Struthio camelus: one gene and its partner. The protein of the gene in region 1 purifies or fractionates together with the protein of each later gene. This does not show direct contact. Links are inferred from orthologs where the notes say so. Each region holds a gene or a part of one and is shown on either strand. Other genes may lie near its edges.

Region 1 (3,912 bases):
TTTAGCAAAACTTTAAAATGAACTGCTCCAGTATTGTTCCCATATTGCTCTAGTACAGTTCCCAGAGCTCCTCCTTCTATTCCCTTCCGCGTAGCTTGCATGAAAATATTTTGACCTCCTCCAAATCTCATTAGCACTTACGTAAGAATGTTCTCAAGTTCTGTCCTATTTGCTACCAATGAGACAAAAAGGCAAACTCAATCCGGAAAAATCTGAACTTTTTGACTGGACTACTTCCTCAAAACTTTTTGCTCAATAGGAAAGGCACAAAAGGATTAGGGACTAGGATCAGGGCCAATTAATTTAATGGGAGTTTCAGAAATGACAAACAGCAACAGCAGGCCCTCTTATGCCGTTTTGAGTTACTGCTTTAGAAGCATTTACCCTTTTTTGATTAATAAAAAGGCTCTGATGTATAAAATAAGAAGTCTTAGAGGTTTGGGCTTGCAGTGTTACCTTTATTCAATTGGCAAAGCTTGTTACAAGTCTTTATAAAGACAGACATGTGAACAAAGGAATTTAGGCATTAGGAAGCTCATGCCTTTTGCATGGCAATTTAATTACTTTTGCATGCTAGTAAACAGCACGTTAATTTTATTTCAAAATCCAAATTATGGTATTATTTTCCACAGCTGGTAAGACTTTTTTTCCATCTTGTATTTGATTAAAGAAAATCTCATTTCCACAGAAAGGCATATCCTTTATACATTTGATTCAAAAGAAAAAAAAATCGATTATAATGAGAAATCTCTTTTTTAATGCATCACACATACCACTGTTTTTCTGTGCTGAAAAATATGCAGTTTAACAAACAGGAGTTCCTGCTAAACAGTTGATCATGGAAAGCAATTACCAGTTCAGTGGCTATCAATAACCAATCAATATTCCGTTAGAAAAAAAAAGTGTCACCTACTGCTCAAATTACTTCTAATCTATCATATAAAGGCCATCATTTAAAGTCCCAGTAAATACCCAGGAAATGTGTAGGTGAACCCCACCCATGCAGAGACCCAGTTATGCCACTGGGGACCCATTCACCCACACATATCCAACTAGGTGATCGTGTCTGAACATACTGACCTACAAGAGACAACCAGAAAAGTGTTTTCTGTACTTCTTACAACAACACACTGATACGCCCACTGGAAAAACATCCACCTCAGACAAATTTAAATGTAACTAGAAGAATTCAAATGCCAAGCCATAACCAAATGTTAACTTCTGATTCTTGTAATTTTTTAAATTTGCCTGTATACACTGGCATTTCTGTGTGTGTATTCGTTTGTTTTTAAATTAACCTCTGAGCTTCCACATACACGACAATCTTCTGTTCCATAAAGCAGAGGTTTTGTAAAATCAAGTATTTCCTTAACACGTTGTGGAGCCAACTTATGAATTAGTATCGAAACAGTGAAAATCTTAAATATGGGAAGACATTTGGACTTTAAGAAACCCAAACTATAAACTCTGCCATAGACAAACATCAGTAACATCTGCTTTTAAAATATATATGTACTTAAATTTAATTAGTGCATTTATTTCCACAGGAATGTGCTGTTTGAGAAAACATATAAGAACACATTTGAGAAAAACCTTACTTCTTAAATTGCTGTTAAGTTTTAGATCCAGCCACTTTCTTCTTTTCCTGTCTGCTGTTTTTATAAGCGAATTAAGATAAAAAATACACATGAAGAAGACAGGCATACTTCAGAGGGACAGTAATGACTTTTGGATCCTTCATTATGTGGCTCCACATAAGTTTTTTGTCTCTCTGACATTTTGAGGCTTGTAAGGTGTCTCCTGTTCAGGAAAAGTTACTTGGTAGAAATCATCCAGGATTTCGTCCTGTTCAGCTTTATTTTAAAAATTGTGTAAGAGCTGTACAGCTTCATCTCTAAGCAGACATTAAGGTCTAACACTTCTCTGATCTAAAAAGCCTTAGATCACTTTCAGAGGCAACCGCCCAAGAATTAGATGATCTGTTAAAATGCAGAACAAACTGATGTTAGATTCAGGATGAGAACTCAGGAGCTCGTATAGACTAATCACACAAAGCTTTGGTTTACACAGTTCTGTATGAAAAGGCCATCAGAATCAATTTACGGTACCTTTCATCTTGTCCCAGATCCTCACTGTCTGGCATTTCAGATGTTAAAAAAAAATAAAAGTATCTCTCTCTTTACCAATCTAGATGATCCAGGCAAAGATCTTCTAGTCTCTTGTGTGTTTCAGAAGCAACAACCGAGGAACCTGTTTTGTTTGCTCCCCAGAAAAGTGCTCCTTGCTCAGAAAGCAAATGTTTACAACACATCCTAAGCGTCTGCTTGTCTTGAATGAAGTTCAGAGGGTTCAGCTTTGATTGGCCGCTGCTATAAATAAACAAGTCGTGAGTCACCTCACGCACTATGACAGGGTATTTAGCAGCAAGCACGGCCAAAAGCAAAACATTTTTTCTTTCAGTCATGTGAGACAGAATCACCACACAGCTATTACATTTTATTTTTCTGCTTCCACTGGAATTCTTCCTCCACGTCTCCCATTTTGTCAGGTGTAAGTAAGTGAGCACACACCAAAATGATAGGAAGCTAGAGATCACGGGACTTTAAAGCAACACATCTGGAAAATAAGTAAGTGCTTATTGTAACTGTAAACATATCCACTTTTTACTTCCCACAAGGTGTCAGCCACAAGCTGTCAGGAGCTGAATTATGTTCCACTGACTAAATTCACACATAAAATAAAAACTTAGCAACTTTTCAAAAATACAGAATAGGAACACAAATCTCCAATGAAGACTAACTGCATTATTTGAAAGCGTCAATCCCAACCTCGTCTGCCACAAGCGGTCTCAGCTTTCTTAGGTGCGCCAGCAAATTGAACTGGCAAAGCCCTAGGCTAAACGAAAGCATGCTGATAGCAGGAGGGTTTTCGCCAAAATATTTCTACCACTTCCTTGAATAACCTATGGTGAATTGGCAAAATCAGCCTCCTACCACTGCTTGCTGCATACGTGATGGGGATCCTGCCACTTGAGCTACACCAGCCACATTTGTATTAATTTTCCACACCTTGAGCAACCTTATCTGTGCTGGTGAAGCTTGGTAGCGCAGCCCAAGACTCCAAGCACCACATACGCCATATTTTCATTATGTCCAGAGATCTTCATATAAAAATCCTTTTTTCTAGAAGGAAACCCAGCAAGATTCAGACCTGTTTCTCCTACACGAGATAGAAGGAATTGTCCTGAGAATGTCACATTTTAATCCAACAAACAAAAAACGCTGGAGCAAAAGATATGGCAGATTAAAAACAACCAGCCCAGTTTGGTAAGCTATATTTGGTGCATTGCAGGTAATACAGCATTCACTGGAAAGCTGCTTGGCTTTAAAAATTACAAATTATTCTATCTCTTTTTCTTATTTTAATATAAAACACTTTCAAATGAAAAGATCTAGATTAAAATTGCCAAAATTACCCATACACCATAATCATAGATTTATTACTCCAAACTGCATGGTTTACATTTACTGTGCAAGTATCTGAATCGGAAAACAATAAAAGGGTCTCAGCACATTGTGAGAAAAGGGAACAAAAAAGGAAGGTTGGGCATCTGCAGAAAGATGACTTCTCTTCTTCTCCCAATATGCCAGCTGGTTCTTTTTTCATCCTATTCAATCTTCCATATCCCATGTCTCTCCTGTAATAGTTTATTCATGTTTTTCTTCTTCCTCCTTTCTGTTCTCCTCAAGTCCAGTATGATTAAATCCTTATGCGTAAATTATGCATGGCAATATATGTGTATATATATACACACACACAAACACAGGACATGTGCGTGCGTGCACACGCAACAGTGAGACTGCTCAGTTCCAGAATTTTCATTAATAAAATGACGTCTGATAGCTTCATTTT
Region 2 (3,912 bases), on another chromosome or scaffold:
TGGGCGGCAAAACAAGACCAAGATCCAAGCAAGCCATTTGCCATGCAACTGGAGCCAGAACAGTTTTTGTAAACAGTCATACTCCTGACTCTGCCTTTTCTCCGTTTTTTTGGAACTGTTCCACTTCTGTAGTTTTGAAGCCTTAAAAATTAAGCCATTCTGAATATACAGTGTAGCTGGAGGTATTTTCCATCAGTTCTCTCCAACTGCATTGTAAACAATCACTTCCTGCTCCTGTTGTGTAATGATTTGAAGACGAAAACAAGATGTATTTACTTTCTCCAGCCGAGCAATTCCAGCCCTGACCCAAAGCAACTGCGTGGGCTGCCAGGCCTCTGCCGCCTCCTCCTTCCCCTCCCCCTGGGAGAATTCTGCAAACCAGTCAGCTGAGAGAGCAAAAGGGCAGAGGAAAGTACACAGAAACAAGGAGCACTTGCAGTTGCCAGCACCAAACTCCCTCATCCCCCACCCTGTCCCTTCTGAGCTATTTTAATCCTGCTTGCTTTCACCTCCTCTGAGCCTTGGATTTTGTTTTCCTTTGGCTTGTAGAAAAGCTGAGCAATTTGCAAAGGGGAAACCAAACTCTGGCCATAAGAAGCTGGCTCTCACCAGTTTAAGAGTAAGTAGCTGCTAAGGGTTTAATTCAGAACTTTATTGGCTTTTAATATACAGCTTAAGAAAATACAAGATACAGCAGGGACCCAAAAAAGTATCCCAGGGTACCCAGAGTTCATGTTATTCCTGTTTGTGCACATTTGCTTGGATTGGTTGCTGCAGCATGGGAAGGCTGGGGAAGTGTTTTAAGGCCAGAAGGGTCGTGATAATAAATTAACAAATATTTACAGTTTCCAAGAGTGCAGCAAGGGGTTGGATCCACAGTTCAGTAGGAAAAAACTCCAATTTTTAAATTCACAGAGAAAACACCCTCACCTTTGTTTGGGCAGTATCTGACACAGAAGGCGGCCTTATTTGGCCTGAAGACATTGACTTTGGCATTATTCAGACAGCAATGCTCAACTGATACTCCCCTCCCACCCCTCAGAATTAATCCAACAGAAACATGCATGTTTCCCAATGCCAGCTGGAAAAGGTCAAGGGAAACAGAAGTCCACGTTCATCTGATTTCACTATCAAGTTTGGCAATCAAAGCTGGTACCATTTACGGAAACCTTTTTGTCATTTGAGTTTTCCCACGAAGTACACTTCAACACAGTAATGGGTATGGTCTCAGCATTTGAGTTTTCTTAAGACTCAGAAAATTTAAGAGGTGTATCAAGCCCTCGGAACAATAACGACTCTAACGCTAACCGGATAGGGAACAGGGAGAGTAATTTCTGAAGAGATTACTGTTCTCTGACAGTCACAAGTTTAAAGACAGGACCCAGGGCAAACATGAAACAAGAACATTTAGCTTTTGACTACTACTCTTTTCTGTAGACTTTAAAGCCCATTCTAAAACGGTCGTTAGTTACCCCACTTCTTCCAATGGAGACACAAAAAAAGTCACACAGGAGGCTGATGACTCAGCCAGGTGCAAAAGACACATTTCTTGCCCTCACTTACAGCAGCTACCCTTGGGATGACGCTTACTCTGGAGCAATGTATTATTTCATGCTTTAAACATGGGGGCTTATTCAGCAAGTATCTCCCTAGTCAAGTACAACAACAAAAGGTGATATAAGACAAGGATACGAATATTTTGATAAAAAGCAACAGCATTTATCCTTTGGAGGCTAGCTATTCAGAATGACATATGTTCAGAAGGGCCTATAAAAAGTAAGTAGGCGATTTGGTTACCTTCCCGGGTTCATAACCGCATTCCTGCGGCAGACACTACATGCGTGTCATTATAAATACATCCCGGTCGTTTACGTACGCGGCTGTGCGTTCAGCGCACAAGCATCTCGCACGGGACTTCGCAAGCCCGGCCCCAAAGGCTTTGCTGACACACAAGCAGCAAGGCTCCCCCAGGCCTCCGAGGCCAGTCGGATGCCACCGTTACAGCTCAGACCTACCTGCGCGCTACAGTCCCCCAGCTCAGAGCAGCTCTGGCGCCCGCGCCCCTGGCTACGGCACGGATGTCACAGGTCCCCAGGGCGCTTATTACTTCTGCACTTGAACGCTCCCGGCGCTCGCACAGGCCTGAGCTCAGGGGCTCCCTCCTCCTCGTCCCCCCCCCGCGGTGACTGCTAAGGGCACGGACACACGACCCGCTCGTGTCGCCTCCGAGCCGCGCTCCGGTTTCCCGTGCGCAGGCACCGGGAACGCCCAGGCCGAGGCTCCAGCTCCTTCCCGCGAAGCGGGCTTGGAGGGCCGGCGGCCCGTCAAAAAGCAGCCGTTAAAGCCAACGGCCGCCGCCGCCCCCCCGGCTCCCGGCCGGCATTACATCAGCGCGCGGCTGCGGCGCCGCCGGCCGCCGCCCCCCGCAGGGCCGCGGGGCAGCCTCCGGCTCCGGCTGCTCGGGGGCTGCGGCCGGCGCCCGCCGCGGAGGGAGGGGAGGGGAGGGGAGGGGAGCCCGAGCCCGGCCGCGGCCCCCCGGCCCCGGCTCACCGAAGGTGCGGCGCTGTTTGAAGGGCCGGTCCGAGGGCATGGCGGCGGCGGCGGCGTCTGGCGCGCGGCGGCGGCCCGGCCTGCGCTCGAGCGGGAGCCGCAGCCGGCCGGGTGACGTCACCACAACGCTCCTTAAAGGGGAGGCGCGAAGAGGCGGTGTTTGGCCGACAGCGGCCGGCCCCCGCCCGGGCGGGGGCGGGGCCGCGGGAAGATGGCCGCCGCGTCGGGGGTGGGGTCACGAGGACGGGCAGGCGCCTCCGCGCGGAAGGGAAGAGGCTGAGGGGAGAGGAGCGCCCGACCGCTAGCAGGCCGGACGTCGTCCTTTCCTTCTGTTTTCCCCCTAATTACCTTCAGGTGATGGAGGCCCTTTCCCCACGCGGCTTTCCAGCGCTCACGCTCGCCGCAGAGGTTGGAGGCGGCTTCCGCCCCTCGCAGAAGGAATTTTCCCCTCTGAATCAGCACACAGCTGCCGCAGTGGCTCCTAGCTCTATAAATAGCACCGGTGCTCTGCAGCTGACAGGAAGGCCGTGCCCCGCCGACAGCGAGCAGGCAGCCCGCGGGCCTCGCTCCGGCCGGCTCCCGGGGAGCGGGGCGAGCGCCAGGCCCGGCACGTCCAGGCAGTCTCGAAGATCCCGTCTCAAGTATATCCCAAACGGTACTGTCGGTTCCGGCAGCGAGGCTGGAGGCAGGCGGATCACCGCGCGGCCAGGCGCGCAGGCCGCATCCGTGACCCTCCGCAGTAAACCAGGCTTACCTGTACCGCTCGGATACTTGCCATACACGCGGCTGCCTCCATCGTTTCTCGCCTAACGAGCCTCTCAGTCTCTTCCGTCTTGCGTTTAAAGCAGCTTCTATGCTGAATGTTTTAAAGCCCACAGCACAACTACAAGTAGGGCAGGCTATTTCTAGAGCTACCGTAAATAAAATAAAAAACAACAGAAATAGAATGACAACGTTGCACAAGGAGCCGTGTTTAATGTTCCTCCAGATGGGCTGCGACAAAAGCTGGACTATGCTGATGCAACGCTTCAGTGAATCAGCATGGAACCTGGGCGACCTCAAAACGTTAATGGATACGTACGCGTTTGGTAAAAGGAGACATGAAAGTTCGCATCTATTTAAAAAAAAACAAACAAACCGACCAACTGCTCCAATTATTAAAAGTGTCGCCAATTAAAAGGAAAAGTTAACTAGACTCTAACATTTTTTCCCCCTTGTAGAGTTTATCCCAAAGGGAAATAATTTGCCTTTAAACTTTCAAGGCTAACTTAATGGATTTTTCTTGCCTCAATAAGAATTGTGTGCATACTGAAAAGTAAACTCCTCAGCTTCACTTTTATAACTAAAATGCAGGTAAAAACC

Evidence for each region.
Region 2: the proteins of RETREG1 (region 1) and MAP1LC3A purify together in Homo sapiens (affinity purification with western blotting; 3 studies listed by BioGRID and IntAct, with this or other methods). This does not show direct contact. The link is inferred for Struthio camelus from reciprocal best matches to the Homo sapiens genes RETREG1 and MAP1LC3A.

What each region holds. Positions count from the first base shown.
Region 1 is NC_090943.1:83,882,504-83,886,415, forward strand, and holds the start of RETREG1 (reticulophagy regulator 1), read right to left. Parts: upstream 2,336-3,912; 5' UTR 2,144-2,335; coding exon 2,109-2,143; intron 1-2,108. UniProt on the Homo sapiens protein: Endoplasmic reticulum (ER)-anchored autophagy regulator which mediates ER delivery into lysosomes through sequestration into autophagosomes.
Region 2 is NC_090959.1:3,829,116-3,833,027, reverse strand, and holds the start of MAP1LC3A (microtubule-associated proteins 1A/1B light chain 3A), read right to left. Parts: upstream 2,732-3,912; 5' UTR 2,591-2,731; coding exon 2,551-2,590; intron 1-2,550. UniProt on the Homo sapiens protein: Ubiquitin-like modifier involved in formation of autophagosomal vacuoles (autophagosomes). While LC3s are involved in elongation of the phagophore membrane, the GABARAP/GATE-16 subfamily is essential for a later stage in autophagosome maturation.